Saccharomyces cerevisiae S288C: one gene and its partners. The protein of the gene in region 1 purifies or fractionates together with the protein of each later gene. This does not show direct contact. Each region holds a gene or a part of one and is shown in the gene's direction. Other genes may lie near its edges.

The links. The genes of interacting proteins can lie anywhere in the genome.
Region 2: the proteins of HSC82 (region 1) and TEF4 purify together in Saccharomyces cerevisiae (affinity purification with mass spectrometry; 4 studies listed by BioGRID). This does not show direct contact.
Region 3: the proteins of HSC82 (region 1) and SGT2 purify together in Saccharomyces cerevisiae (affinity purification with mass spectrometry; 5 studies listed by BioGRID, with this or other methods). This does not show direct contact.

What each region holds. Positions count from the first base shown.
Region 1 is NC_001145.3:630,232-636,960, forward strand, and holds HSC82 (Hsp90 family chaperone HSC82), read left to right. Parts: upstream 1-2,123; coding exon 2,124-4,241; downstream 4,242-6,729. Other genes in the region: RTP1 (Rtp1p), read left to right, coding at 1-1,739; YMR187C (uncharacterized protein), read right to left, coding at 4,458-5,753; mitochondrial 37S ribosomal protein uS17m MRPS17, read right to left, coding at 6,060-6,729. UniProt on the Saccharomyces cerevisiae protein: Molecular chaperone that promotes the maturation, structural maintenance and proper regulation of specific target proteins involved in cell cycle control and signal transduction such as CNA2. Undergoes a functional cycle that is linked to its ATPase activity.
Region 2 is NC_001143.9:280,650-284,955, forward strand, and holds TEF4 (translation elongation factor EF1B gamma), read left to right. Parts: upstream 1-2,241; coding exon 2,242-2,446; intron 2,447-2,535; exon of another isoform or gene 2,536-2,630; intron 2,631-2,772; coding exon 2,773-3,806; downstream 3,807-4,306. Other genes in the region: HOT13 (Hot13p), read left to right, coding at 1-210; ribosome biosynthesis protein RRP14, read right to left, coding at 376-1,680. UniProt on the Saccharomyces cerevisiae protein: Subunit of the eukaryotic elongation factor 1 complex (eEF1). Probably plays a role in anchoring the complex to other cellular components.
Region 3 is NC_001147.6:338,438-342,258, reverse strand, and holds SGT2 (Sgt2p), read left to right. Parts: upstream 1-2,280; coding exon 2,281-3,321; downstream 3,322-3,821. Other genes in the region: SLG1 (Slg1p), read left to right, coding at 1-981; ribosome biogenesis protein TSR3, read left to right, coding at 3,638-3,821. UniProt on the Saccharomyces cerevisiae protein: Co-chaperone that binds to the molecular chaperone Hsp70 (SSA1 and SSA2). Regulates Hsp70 ATPase activity. Required for recovery from heat shock.

The sequences.
Region 1 (6,729 bases):
GACAGTTCTTTTTATATGTATGGATATATGCTCTTTTTTTGAAGAAAAACCAAAAACTAGACCCATTAGAAATAAACAAATTGTCTATTTCAGATAATAAAAGCACAGACAGCATACATTTTCCAGAGCAATCTTCCTCAAAGTATTACGAGGTTGTATTATCATTATTAAAATCTCTAATAGTCATAACAGAAAATTTTCAATATCTAAATGTACTGAGCCTTAACTTACTGAATTTTGAGCACGAGAAATGGAAGTATTTAATTGATCTTGATACTCAGCTACCCTACATATCGGTTAAAAACACAGATATGGCAGAGTTGTTTTTCGAAAAAGGATCCAAAAACTCTCAAATTTCTGAGTTTCTTCAAGATATGGACCTTTCGATAGAATTATTTATGGAATTTTTAGTGCTGCTAAATGATGAGGAACAATCAAAGACTTTATTTTTAGATATTCTGAAAAGATGGGTCCATCATACAAAAAAAAGTGAAAAAAGATCTTCCGATAATCATAGCGGGATGCCAAGCGTTACAGATAACGCGTTAATACTCATGGACTTGAAACTTTTGGAATGTATGAACAACCGATTTAAAACCAAGATTGTTAATAAACCTAAGGACGTTCTTATTGTTATTGATCAATTGATAGATGTTGTTCAGGAAAAAGATGAAACAATACAGGAAGTAGAAGCAGATTCTGACGACGAAGTTGAAGAAGGAGAAGAAACAGAAGAATTGGATCCAAATGAAAATTCTTCCTACAAAATTATCTTGCAGTTATTATCAACCGTCCTTTCAGAATCGTCCAGTAGTATATTATTGCAAAACAGTTATATATTGAAATCCATTTCTAGAAAATTACAATCTTTCAACACTAATGCTTCCGAAATAGATGCATTATTGGCATCAATAGATAATATATTGATTAACGGACATACTACGGAAAGGAACGACAACATAGAAATTGAGATGGATGAGGAAAGGCTTGACAAAGCGATAACTAGTCTACATGATCCTTTAGTGCCCATAAAATCTTATGGTTTAACAGAACTACGTCATCTAGCTGAAAAGAAGTCTCCAGTAATTTCACTGGAAAAGGTGTTGCAAATACATTTAGATTATTTAAAGAATATGGACCCTTTCATTTATCTCAACGTTATTAAAGGACTTACAACGCTATGTGAATTAGAGCCAGAAACCATATTGCCTCTACTTGCAGAATTTTATGCTAACAAAAAAAAGAAAAACAGATTAGATGATGTGCTGAAAGTTGGAGAAGTGTTCATCAATTACATTCAACGTCAGAACGAATTGTTCCAGGGTAAATTGGCTTATCTGATTATAGATACCTGTCTTAGTATTGTGAGGCCAAATGATAGTAAACCATTGGACAATAGATGGCGTATGTCATCCATGTCAATCTTAGGTATGTGCCTTCAAATCAACGCCAGGGGTGTCTCGGATAGAATTCGCGATATGCTGGATTGTGTATTTGGAATATTGCAATTAGAACAACCACAAAATCATTTGAAGGACAAGGATGATTCTTTTTTGATGAGAAGAAGTGCCGTACACTTGATACATGATTTGTTGTACAGTACAGGATTTGATTTACTTCCCTTTGAGTACAACTACGATAAGCTAAAAACACTATTATCTTACGTTCGTGATCAAGATGAAGATTACATGGTTTGTGAACAGATTGACAAGCTTTTAACCGTACTAGATAGTTTATAACCCATTACGCATTTGATTATAATTTGCTTCTTAGGCAAAATTAATATTTACGTTCTTTTATATTCTTTCTTTTTGTATTCATAGAACAGCAGCCATTACCAATAGAAAGTTAAAATAGCCGCCGATGCATTTTATTACCCGCCTTTCTGTTTTCTGGGCACTTTTCTTTCTAGAAGGTGAAAGAACAATTTTTCTCGTTTTCTCGAACTTCCACCAAGCGTTGGGTAATGAGGGAGGAGATTTGTATAAAAAGAGTGGCATGTGAACTGCCTACCGTAAGTGACATGAACACATGCATTATATTTTTTGTGATATATTCTTTCTCTTGTTTTCTTTTTCTTGAAACGCTACAGAACCAATAGAAAAATAGAATCATTCTGAAATATGGCTGGTGAAACTTTTGAATTTCAAGCTGAAATCACTCAGTTGATGAGTTTGATCATCAACACTGTCTATTCTAACAAGGAAATTTTCTTGAGAGAACTGATCTCTAACGCCTCCGATGCTTTAGACAAAATTAGATACCAAGCTTTGTCTGATCCAAAGCAATTGGAAACCGAACCAGATTTGTTCATTAGAATCACCCCAAAACCAGAAGAAAAAGTTTTGGAAATCAGAGATTCTGGTATTGGTATGACCAAGGCTGAATTGATTAACAATTTGGGTACCATTGCTAAGTCTGGTACTAAAGCTTTCATGGAAGCTCTATCTGCTGGTGCCGATGTATCCATGATTGGTCAATTCGGTGTTGGTTTTTACTCTTTATTCTTAGTCGCCGACAGAGTTCAAGTTATTTCCAAGAACAATGAGGACGAACAATATATTTGGGAATCTAATGCCGGTGGTTCTTTCACCGTTACTTTGGACGAAGTTAACGAAAGAATTGGTAGAGGTACCGTCTTGAGATTATTCTTGAAAGATGACCAATTGGAGTACTTGGAAGAAAAGAGAATTAAAGAAGTCATCAAGAGACATTCTGAATTCGTTGCTTACCCTATCCAACTTCTAGTCACCAAGGAAGTCGAAAAGGAAGTTCCAATTCCAGAAGAAGAAAAGAAAGACGAGGAAAAGAAGGATGAAGATGACAAGAAACCAAAATTGGAAGAAGTCGATGAAGAAGAAGAAGAAAAGAAGCCAAAAACCAAAAAAGTTAAAGAAGAGGTTCAAGAATTAGAAGAGTTGAACAAGACTAAGCCATTATGGACTAGAAACCCATCTGATATCACTCAAGAGGAATACAATGCTTTCTATAAGTCTATTTCTAACGACTGGGAAGACCCATTGTACGTTAAGCATTTCTCTGTTGAAGGTCAATTGGAATTTAGAGCTATCTTGTTCATTCCAAAGAGAGCACCATTCGACTTATTTGAGAGTAAGAAGAAGAAGAACAATATCAAGTTGTACGTTCGTCGTGTCTTCATCACTGATGAAGCTGAAGACTTGATTCCAGAGTGGTTATCTTTCGTCAAGGGTGTTGTTGACTCTGAAGATTTACCATTGAATTTGTCCAGAGAAATGTTACAACAAAATAAGATTATGAAGGTTATTAGAAAGAATATTGTCAAGAAATTGATTGAAGCCTTCAACGAAATCGCTGAAGACTCCGAGCAATTTGACAAATTTTACTCTGCCTTCGCTAAGAACATTAAGCTGGGTGTACATGAGGACACTCAAAACAGAGCTGCTTTAGCTAAGTTGCTACGTTACAATTCTACTAAATCTGTCGATGAATTGACTTCCTTGACTGATTACGTTACTAGAATGCCAGAACACCAAAAGAACATCTATTACATCACCGGTGAATCTCTAAAGGCAGTCGAAAAGTCTCCATTCTTGGACGCCTTGAAGGCTAAGAACTTTGAAGTTTTGTTCTTGACCGACCCAATTGATGAATACGCTTTCACTCAATTGAAGGAATTCGAGGGTAAAACTTTGGTTGACATTACTAAAGATTTCGAATTGGAAGAAACAGACGAAGAAAAAGCTGAAAGAGAGAAGGAGATCAAAGAATACGAACCATTGACCAAGGCCTTGAAGGATATCTTGGGTGACCAAGTGGAGAAGGTTGTTGTTTCTTACAAATTGCTAGATGCTCCAGCTGCCATCAGAACTGGTCAATTCGGCTGGTCTGCTAACATGGAAAGAATCATGAAGGCTCAAGCCTTGAGAGACTCTTCCATGTCCTCCTACATGTCTTCCAAGAAGACTTTCGAAATTTCTCCAAAATCTCCAATTATTAAGGAATTGAAAAAGAGAGTTGATGAGGGTGGTGCACAAGATAAGACCGTCAAAGATTTGACTAACTTATTATTCGAGACCGCTTTGTTGACTTCTGGTTTCAGTTTGGAAGAACCAACTTCTTTTGCATCAAGAATAAATAGATTGATTTCTTTAGGTTTGAACATTGATGAGGATGAAGAAACAGAAACCGCTCCAGAAGCTTCTACCGAAGCTCCAGTTGAAGAGGTTCCAGCTGACACCGAGATGGAAGAAGTTGATTAATCTCTTTTTTCGCCTTCATGTTTTATATATTATATAAATTTGTTTACTTATTTTTACTATTTGTAATAATGATTCTGCTTTACGCGCCTTTAAAAAAGTTGGTCTTAATGTAAACATGAACCATAGCACACAATTTAAGACATCAGCTGTCAAATGACCATAAAATTGTCCTACCAGCTGTCCTTAAAGTTTAGTGTACACTTACGAATGACTTATTTACTCACCTTTGCAACTTTGTTCAATAAATTCATTGATCTTTTCAAGTTCCTGACATCTTTTGTAACTGGCATAGAGCTTCAGACTTGACCAGCCTATAGCAGCAGTACCACAACCTATAATATTGAAAATCATTCTAAATTCCGAAGGGGAGCAATTCGGCGTCCATTCAATTTTAAACTTTCTCTGTATCCATAGAAAAGCATTCAATAGAAGACCTCCTGTACATTTACCAACAAAGGGCCATAGTATCTTTTCTGCAAGAATAGCATACCAATTCCGCCTGATAAAAAATTCCTCAGCTGGAACGCTATTACTAGAGTTTTCAAAATTTCCGTGATACAAATACTTACCTCCTTTATTGATCAGCCTCCTGTAAATTAAGTCAACCAATCTTTTAAAGGTAAAATTATAGCAAAATGTAGCCAAGTTAGAATACAAAATTATTTTAGGTAAACCTATACCCTTGTAATATTTGTTTCCAGCAGTTTTTACAATACTGAGATACACCCACTTAAAGAGTATTGCATTAGCACTGACGTTAGAAATGTTGCTAAGATAATGTATGAACCCATATATTATGATCGAGGAGGTTAAAGGAATGCTTAATAAGCCACGTTCAGTTTGCGCATATACGTCCAATGCCTTTGTAGTGCTGATGTTTAACATATTTCGTAGAACATTCTCAGGGAAAAGGCAGCGTAGTTGCCATAATCCAATGTCAAAACTTGTCTTTTCAGGGTTTAAAAGAAATAAACTAGTTATCCCTAATGGTATCACGTATCGTGTAATTTTTTGCCACTGATAAAACAGGGATAGTACAGAAGACTGGATGGTTACTGTAGGTCTTTTTATGAAATTTGTTTTCTTGCATTGAGGACATTCGCCAAATTTCACTAACACATAAGGTGGATGATTATCCCGTTTGGTATAAAGAGACATTAGATTGAACACGTAGTCATTTTGAAACGGTACTGATTTTTGCCCCCAAATGGGACGAGTTTCCCATATTTCTGTAAGAGAGAAAGTCGTCATAAAATCATGGTGCCCATCAACGAGACATTTTAAACAGGTGATTATAGGTAAATCAGCATCCTTTGGTAGGTCCACTGTGTTCGGAAGAAAAAGTTCAACATGCATTTGATAGAGCCATCTTATATAGCAGCGTTTATGAATTTGTAAGTTGCAACCGCACGTGTGCTGTAGCCATGTAGAGTCATATGTGGATTCTTCCAAACATATCCAGCATATGCATCTTTTTTTTATGAGAGATAAAAAAAAATGAGGTGGGGTCATATAAAACTTGGACTATTTCCTTGGAATTTTCTTGTTTGTAAAATCAGAGCAGAGCTCTTTTATTTACTTTTGTTTTTGACGATGGGGACGAGCGATGTACTCACATCTTCGATATCACTTGCCTGAAAATATATAAATGCGTTAAACGATAGAAAATCAAAAACATCGTTCTTTTCACTAGAATATTTTAAAGTCAAAACATAACACTTTACTATTTACGTAACGAAGTCTTGTAGTTGTATATATTTACAGAGTGTAGTGCTTTAGTTGAGAAAATATGACACTCGGCTTTCCTCTTTCTTTTATTTACTGGCTTGGTTGTTGCATATCCATCATGACGTGCTTTCTTAACAAATTTTTTTTGATGTTTTTTTTCAAGGTCAAAGGATCCTCAACACCATGATCCTTCAAAAATTGATCACATTTTAGATCATTCGACAACAATTCGGATAATCGCGTTTGAATACGATCAATGAGACTTCTTTGTTTCTCCAAATTAACCTCCAATCCAGAGATGTCTAACTGTAAAAGTTGCCTCACTGTTTCTTGTGAAAAATCTTGAATGCCGTACCTTTGTTTAATCTCCAATAACTCTTTCGGCGTTGACCCGCTAGATAAAGCATCTTGGATGGTCCTAATATCACGTAAAAGGGTTGTTTTTTCATTTAGTTTATTCTCCCTCACTGATCTTTTATCCAAAAATTCTTTTGCCTTTTGGGCTTCTTCTTTTGCAACGCTTAACTGAGCTTCTGATTCGTATAATGCAAATTGTTGACCCTTGTTTCTAATAATTTCTGCAATGGCAAAAAACTTCCTCTTTGAAAGCGGCCTCGTCGCTTCTATCCTTACTAAATCACCCTCCCTTGATATTTCACCTTCATCATGCACTAAATAATCTCTTCTATGAAATAACTCCTTGTTGATTTTCTTATTAAAGACTTTTGTTTCTACACGTACTTTAACCGTCTTTTGCATC
Region 2 (4,306 bases), on another chromosome or scaffold:
AGTTCTCACCCGCTAGAAAAATATGATCTCCTTGACGATGCAAATAAACACTTGATTATTTGCGGAGTTTGCCGTCATGAAATGACGTTTGCAGAGTATTACGACTACAATTCAAACCTTATTTGTCCCAATTGCAGATCCCCCTTTAATCCAGGCTGTAAATTGCACTACCATTTGTATTTCCAGAACCCTCCCCCCGCTATGTGTTGAGTGTTGTTCTATAAATGCATGCCATCTTAAGCTCTGCTGTGCTCTTCTCGTTAAGGAAAAAATGCGATGGTATATATATAGATATATATATATATATATGTATCTGTATATATATGTTCATACATATATATATATCTATTATTGTTGTTATTATTATCGTGATTATTATTTAGGTCCTCCCTTCTTTTTACCTGTTTTTAATCTACCCTCAAATCCGGCTCTTTTCTTTGGTACGGCACTACCGACATACTTTCTTTTCATCTTTTCTTGCTTATTTCTCTTTTTACCCTTGTTGTCTTTCCTAATCCTCAGATTCTCTTCTCTTCTCTTTTGTCTTTCAGATATCGTGTCTTCCACAACCCTCTTACGTTCGCTCCATTCAATCGCAGACTTTCTCTTTTGTGCTTCCTTTCTCTTTATAGCTTTGCGAAGTAGTTTTTCGTCATCCCTAATCTTAATTCCTTCTGCTTGTAACATAGCCTTTTGCCATTTTTCCTTTTCCTTCTGCTTGATTTGTTCTAGTTCGTCTTTCGCCTCCATCTTATTCTTCTTGGCTTCTAATAACTTTAAGTGTGATTTTACATCATTCTTAGCCGGACCCTTCGTTCTACCAGCTTTTCTTAACCTTTGTAAATCTGAAGTGGCCCTTGCACCATCATCGAATATGATATTTTGAAACATTACACCATCTGCGTTAATTTCTGAGTCCTTCTTGCCTTTTTTGAATCTTTTTTTCGAATTGTTTTCTAAATCACTATCGATGTCTTCCATATCGGAATCAGACGCAATTTCATCCTGATCCTGTTCCTGTTCACTTTCTAGACGCTTTCTTTTTTTCAACTCTTCCTTGCGTTTCCTTTGAGCAAGAATAGCCTCTCTAGAACCGGGTGCTTTCCTTTTACTCTTCATATCTGAAATTTTCGCTTGTAACTTGGAACGTAGTGCTTCCAAGTTTTTCTTTCTTTGTAGTTTCTCTTCCTCTGTAATAGACTTCTTTTCGACAGATCTATCGGGCTCTGTAGTATCTTTTTTAGATTCTAATGGTATTTCATTTCCCTCATCATCAAAGATCACCTTAATATCCTCTTCCTCTTCTTCATCTTCGTCTGGTGCTATTATCATAGGATCGTTTACTTCTACGTTCAGGTCGGAGTCTCCTTCCACTTTTGATGTTGCTTCCTTTTGCTTTTGCATTTTCATGTGCTTGAATTTTTCACCAGGTAGGACCACCGGCTTTGCGTCTTTCTCCTTCTTCTTCATTACTTCTAATGTACTAGATGTTTCATCATCACGTTGCTCCGGGTCTAATTTTTTCAGTTTATCATTTTTACTCTGTTCTTTGGTTTTCTTCTTGGCCTTCCATTGCTCTTGACTTTTTTCATCATAATAGTATTTTGCAGGAATTAAAGCCAATAAACCATCGAAGGCGCTTGAATTAGCACGAAGGCGCTCCTCAAGTGAATTACTCATCTCAGTCTCCTATATCTTTCAATTCCCGGACTTTCTTTATCACTTGCAACAACGTCTCAGTCCTCACTTGTTATTCATCTCTTGGTCATCTCATCTCTTTTATTGTACTTTCCTCTTTTCTTTACCGGAGATGAGAATAAAAAGAATTCATTTTAAAAAATTTTCAATTTGGTGTCTGGGTGAAACTTTTTAATCGTGTAATCCCAATTAAACCACTCTACTTTACTTTAATTGGTACACGAACTCATTACACACCTTTGCCTCTATTGCTTGTGTCAATCGTGTTGAGAGAGGAAGCCCAAAACAAGGGAAATTAACCTCTGTAGGCAAGCCATCACATTTGGCAATAGCAGCCCTCATTTAATTTAATTCGGCATGTGGCCGGCAGGGTAATGCGCTCTGCTGCTGACAAAATTGAAAGAAAAATTTTTTTCATCAACAGTTTGCAATACTTTCTTTTTCATATTTAATTCATCCATTCCGTCGTTAATTTTGTTCAAAACTGGTGTCCATCCTTAATACCAACTCAATTCTTTGATTTTGGCCCTCGATAGATTCAAGATGTCCCAAGGTACTTTATACATTAATAGATCTCCAAGAAACTACGCTTCTGAAGCTTTGATTTCTTACTTTAAACTAGATGTCAAGATCGTTGATCTAGAACAATCTAGCGAGTTTGCTTCTTTGTTCCCATTGAAGCAAGCCCCTGCATTTTTGGGTCCAAAGGGCTTAAAGCTAACTGAAGCTTTGGCTATCCAATTTTATTGTATGTTCCATATTTTATTTTAACACTTCCACATACATTGTTTTGCGCGTTTCCCGTTCGTTTATTTGGCACGTCATTTTTCTTCGAAACATAATGATGAAAAAAAATTTTATCAAACAGTTATCCCTGTCTGAATGGGTAATAATAGGTAACCTCTCATATGTTGATATTTGTATTTCTGATATGTTTCTTAAAGAAAAATGAAAGTCAAAATAACAAAAAGGAAGTACAAAGCGTGTCCTAATCCAGGAAAAAATATAAAGGATTGTTTTACTAACATTTCTTCAATTAATGGTTGTATAACCATCGAGATGATGTATATTTAGTGGCTAATCAAGTTGCCGATGAAAAAGAAAGAGCTCGCTTATTAGGTTCCGACGTTATCGAAAAGTCTCAAATCCTTAGATGGGCATCTCTAGCTAATTCCGATGTCATGAGCAACATTGCTCGTCCATTCCTTTCTTTCAAAGGTTTGATTCCATACAACAAGAAAGACGTTGATGCTTGTTTTGTTAAAATCGACAACCTAGCTGCTGTCTTCGATGCTAGATTGAGAGACTACACCTTTGTTGCTACCGAAAACATTTCTCTAGGTGACCTTCATGCCGCTGGTTCTTGGGCTTTTGGTTTGGCCACTATTTTGGGCCCTGAATGGAGAGCTAAGCATCCTCATTTGATGAGATGGTTCAACACTGTTGCTGCTTCTCCAATCGTGAAGACTCCATTTGCTGAAGTCAAATTGGCTGAAAAGGCTCTAACCTACACTCCACCAAAGAAGCAAAAGGCTGAAAAGCCAAAGGCCGAAAAGTCAAAGGCTGAAAAGAAGAAGGACGAAGCTAAGCCAGCAGATGATGCTGCTCCAGCTAAAAAGCCAAAGCACCCATTGGAAGCTTTAGGAAAGTCCACATTTGTCTTGGATGACTGGAAGAGAAAGTACTCCAACGACGACACCAGACCAGTTGCTTTGCCATGGTTCTGGGAACACTACAACCCTGAAGAATACTCCATCTGGAAGGTTGGTTACAAATACAACGACGAACTTACCTTGACTTTCATGTCCAACAACTTGGTCGGTGGTTTTTTCAACAGATTGTCCGCTTCTACTAAGTACATGTTCGGTTGTTTAGTTGTCTATGGTGAAAACAACAATAATGGTATTGTTGGTGCCGTTATGGTCAGAGGCCAAGATTTCGCTCCAGCCTTTGATGTCGCTCCAGACTGGGAATCTTACGAATACACCAAGTTGGACCCAACCAAGGAAGAAGACAAAGAATTTGTCAACAACATGTGGGCTTGGGATAAGCCTGTTGTTGTCAATGGCGAAGATAAGGAAATTGTTGACGGTAAGGTTTTGAAATAATCTCAATAACTCTTCTTCCATATTTTCTTCCCAATATACATAAGAGTCAAACAAAACGAATTTTCAAAAGAAAAAAGAAAAAAACCCTGAAGTCTACTTCATGATTACCCCATACTTACGCGTGGTTTAATTCTATGTAACGATTAACGTCCATGTAATCATTATATATATATATATTGTAATAATCTCTCTAATTGAGTATCACAATCTGCTGCGGTTACTCTAACAATATTTTGCATAAACTTGATTCTTCTCTTCTTATTTCATGTTTCAGTGGGGCATTTTCCATTGTACTTTTGCAACAATAGCGAAAAAAACAATTTTCCGTAAAGAGAAGCGTCAGTCATAAACGGTGTATGTTACCCGAACTGGAATGAATTTTATCTTAAGACTGGAAAACAATTTAGGATAGAACTGAAGATAGTGCAACACGTCTGGTGATATCATGTGCTTTCAAGCAGGATTTGTCACAGTGCTTTAGAAACACAAACAAAGGAGGT
Region 3 (3,821 bases), on another chromosome or scaffold:
TGTAGCGCAAAAGGTGCAAGCTACTTTGCCCTTTATAATCATTCAGAATGTTATTGTGGTGATACTAATCCATCTGGTTCGGAATCTACTTCCTCTTCATGTAATACGTATTGCTTTGGTTACAGCAGTGAGATGTGTGGTGGTGAAGATGCCTATTCTGTGTACCAACTTGACTCTGACACAAATAGCAATAGCATAAGCAGCTCAGATTCAAGTACGGAGTCTACTTCTGCGTCGTCTTCCACAACTTCTTCAACAACGTCCTCCACAACATCAACTACATCATCGACTACATCATCAACTACATCATCAATGGCGTCTTCCTCTACAGTACAGAATTCCCCCGAGTCAACTCAAGCAGCTGCCTCTATTTCAACGTCACAGAGTTCGAGCACTGTAACGTCAGAAAGCTCGCTAACTTCGGATACTTTGGCAACGAGCAGTACTAGCTCTCAATCACAGGACGCCACTTCGATAATCTATTCCACTACTTTTCACACTGAGGGCGGTTCCACAATTTTTGTCACGAACACCATCACGGCAAGTGCACAGAATTCAGGATCGGCCACAGGTACAGCTGGATCTGACTCTACGAGTGGAAGTAAAACTCATAAAAAGAAAGCCAATGTAGGGGCAATTGTAGGCGGCGTTGTAGGTGGTGTAGTGGGAGCCGTAGCCATTGCTCTTTGTATCTTGTTGATTGTCAGACACATTAATATGAAGCGGGAACAAGACAGGATGGAAAAGGAATACCAAGAGGCGATAAAACCAGTTGAGTACCCTGATAAACTATACGCCTCTTCATTTTCATCTAATCACGGGCCCTCTTCAGGTAGCTTCGAGGAGGAGCACACCAAAGGGCAAACTGATATTAACCCTTTCGACGACTCAAGGAGAATAAGTAACGGAACATTCATAAATGGCGGACCAGGAGGGAAAAACAACGTTTTAACAGTGGTCAATCCAGACGAAGCTGATTGAAGAAACCCAAAAAAAATTATTATATTCTTAAACTATTGCCAAGCAAGTCTTGTTCCTTCCCATTAATTTTTTCTTTTTCCGATTTCATTTTGCCAAATCATCTCCATTTTCACATTATGATGATCCTCTAAAAATTCATACATTTCGAATTTGAGAGCTGGAGAGCTGGAAGTAACGAGGAACATTAAATAGGAACAACAAAATTAGATTAGTTATTTTTTTTTCTACTCATTAATTTTTTTATGATATATTTGAATACCAACCTTAACTTAGTTACATAGATTTAACAAACATTAAACATGTTAATTCTTTGAAATGAATACCACCTAATAAAACTATACATTTTCAAAATAACAAATTGTTATGAAACTAATAGCTAATTATCTTCTAGTGACAATAACCACTTTACTAGAAATTATTAAAAAAATACCGCGTTGAAAGACGATATAAAGTAGGAGATTAATAAATTTATATTCATATTTTCTTCAATCTAATGAAATTGAAGCGCAAGGATTGATTATGTGATAGGATGCGTGAGTAGTAATGCATGAAAAAGGAGGAAGACGTGATTATAATATATGATGTAAAATTTTGATTCCATTTTGCGGATTCCTGTATCCTCGAGGAAAGACCTCTGGCATATTATATAGGGATATTATTCCTTTACAAAAAATGGAATGAAAGAATCAAAACAAAATTGTCATGTTTGCACAATTGCGTATACCATTGCATATAATTATGTCGAAAATCATCAATATGTATGGGAATGATCATTCCATTTTTTTCACACTGGCATAATAATTTGAATATAATAATAATGGATGATGGGCATTATTGGGAAATAAAACTATGAAATTTGCTTTTAGTACGTGTATCGATAAATATCTCTAATTTTCTCAAGATCTGTTCCTCGTGGCCCAATGGTCACGGCGTCTGGCTACGAACCAGAAGATTCCAGGTTCAAGTCCTGGCGGGGAAGATTTTTTTTAACATTGAATAGAAATTACAAAGGTCTTTTATGCTATTTTAAAGGGCTATAGGCGGCATAATATTTGCTTTTAACCTTATTGTCATGACATTCTAATCACAACACTTAGCCCTTCTTTTGTATTTTTCCAAACTTTTTCAAGTCTTAAAATTTTCCCAATCGAAAAAAATGGAAGATCCGAGAAGGTTTTATTGCCCTACGCTTAATCCCAAATTTTGCCACCATATAAAATGAGTACGAGCGATATAATCGGACAACTGAATAGAAGCTTCTGACCAAGTGATATCTTATTAATACAAATCTACTGTACGATGTCAGCATCAAAAGAAGAAATTGCTGCCCTTATTGTAAACTACTTTTCTTCCATTGTGGAAAAGAAAGAAATTTCAGAAGATGGCGCCGATTCTTTAAATGTTGCTATGGACTGTATCTCTGAAGCCTTTGGCTTTGAAAGAGAAGCTGTTTCAGGCATTTTAGGCAAGTCTGAATTCAAGGGTCAACATCTTGCTGATATATTAAATTCTGCGTCAAGAGTTCCAGAATCGAATAAGAAAGACGATGCTGAGAATGTCGAGATTAATATTCCAGAAGATGATGCGGAAACTAAAGCCAAAGCTGAGGACTTGAAAATGCAAGGTAATAAAGCAATGGCCAACAAGGATTACGAACTGGCAATCAATAAATATACTGAAGCCATTAAAGTTTTACCAACGAATGCTATTTATTACGCCAATAGAGCGGCTGCTCATTCATCCCTGAAAGAATATGATCAAGCGGTCAAAGACGCTGAATCTGCAATTTCTATTGACCCATCTTATTTCAGAGGCTACTCTAGATTGGGTTTTGCTAAATATGCGCAAGGTAAACCCGAAGAAGCCCTTGAAGCATACAAAAAGGTTCTTGATATAGAGGGCGATAATGCAACAGAAGCTATGAAAAGGGATTATGAAAGTGCCAAGAAGAAGGTTGAGCAATCTTTGAATCTGGAGAAAACCGTTCCAGAACAGTCAAGGGATGCTGATGTCGATGCAAGTCAGGGTGCTAGTGCGGGTGGATTGCCAGATCTTGGTTCTTTATTAGGAGGTGGTCTTGGAGGTTTAATGAACAACCCACAATTGATGCAGGCTGCGCAAAAAATGATGAGCAATCCAGGTGCAATGCAGAATATTCAAAAAATGATGCAAGATCCAAGTATCAGACAGATGGCTGAAGGCTTTGCTTCAGGCGGAGGAACTCCAAATTTGTCTGACTTGATGAATAACCCAGCACTCAGAAACATGGCAGGCAATCTTTTTGGTGGAGCAGGTGCCCAATCTACAGATGAAACACCAGACAATGAGAACAAGCAATAGTGGACTGAAATAAGCCTTTAATGCAATACATGTTATGTAGATACAAATATAGCTCTATCTAGGATGAGTGTTACCAGGAATTTTATTTTTACTTTGAGATCACTTGCGAAATACTTAAATAGGGACTGTAGTTTACTTTTTCTTTTTTTCAGGTAAATTCGTCGATTTTCGGAGAAGACTAGAAAATATAATGTGATGAGAAACTACATAAAAAAATTTTTACTAGTAAATGTCTATTTGAAATACTTTATCGAAAAGCTTTTTATGTAAATCTGTATAGAACTTCTCGCGTAAGACAGTTGAGTAAGCAGTAACAATGGGAAAAGGTAAAAATAAGATGCACGAACCCAAAAATGGAAGACCACAGAGAGGCGCTAATGGGCACAGTTCCAGGCAAAACCATAGGCGCATGGAAATGAAGTACGATAATTCAGAAAAAATGAAGTTTCCTGTTAAACTGGCTATGTGGGATTTTGATCATTGCGATCCAAAGAGATGCA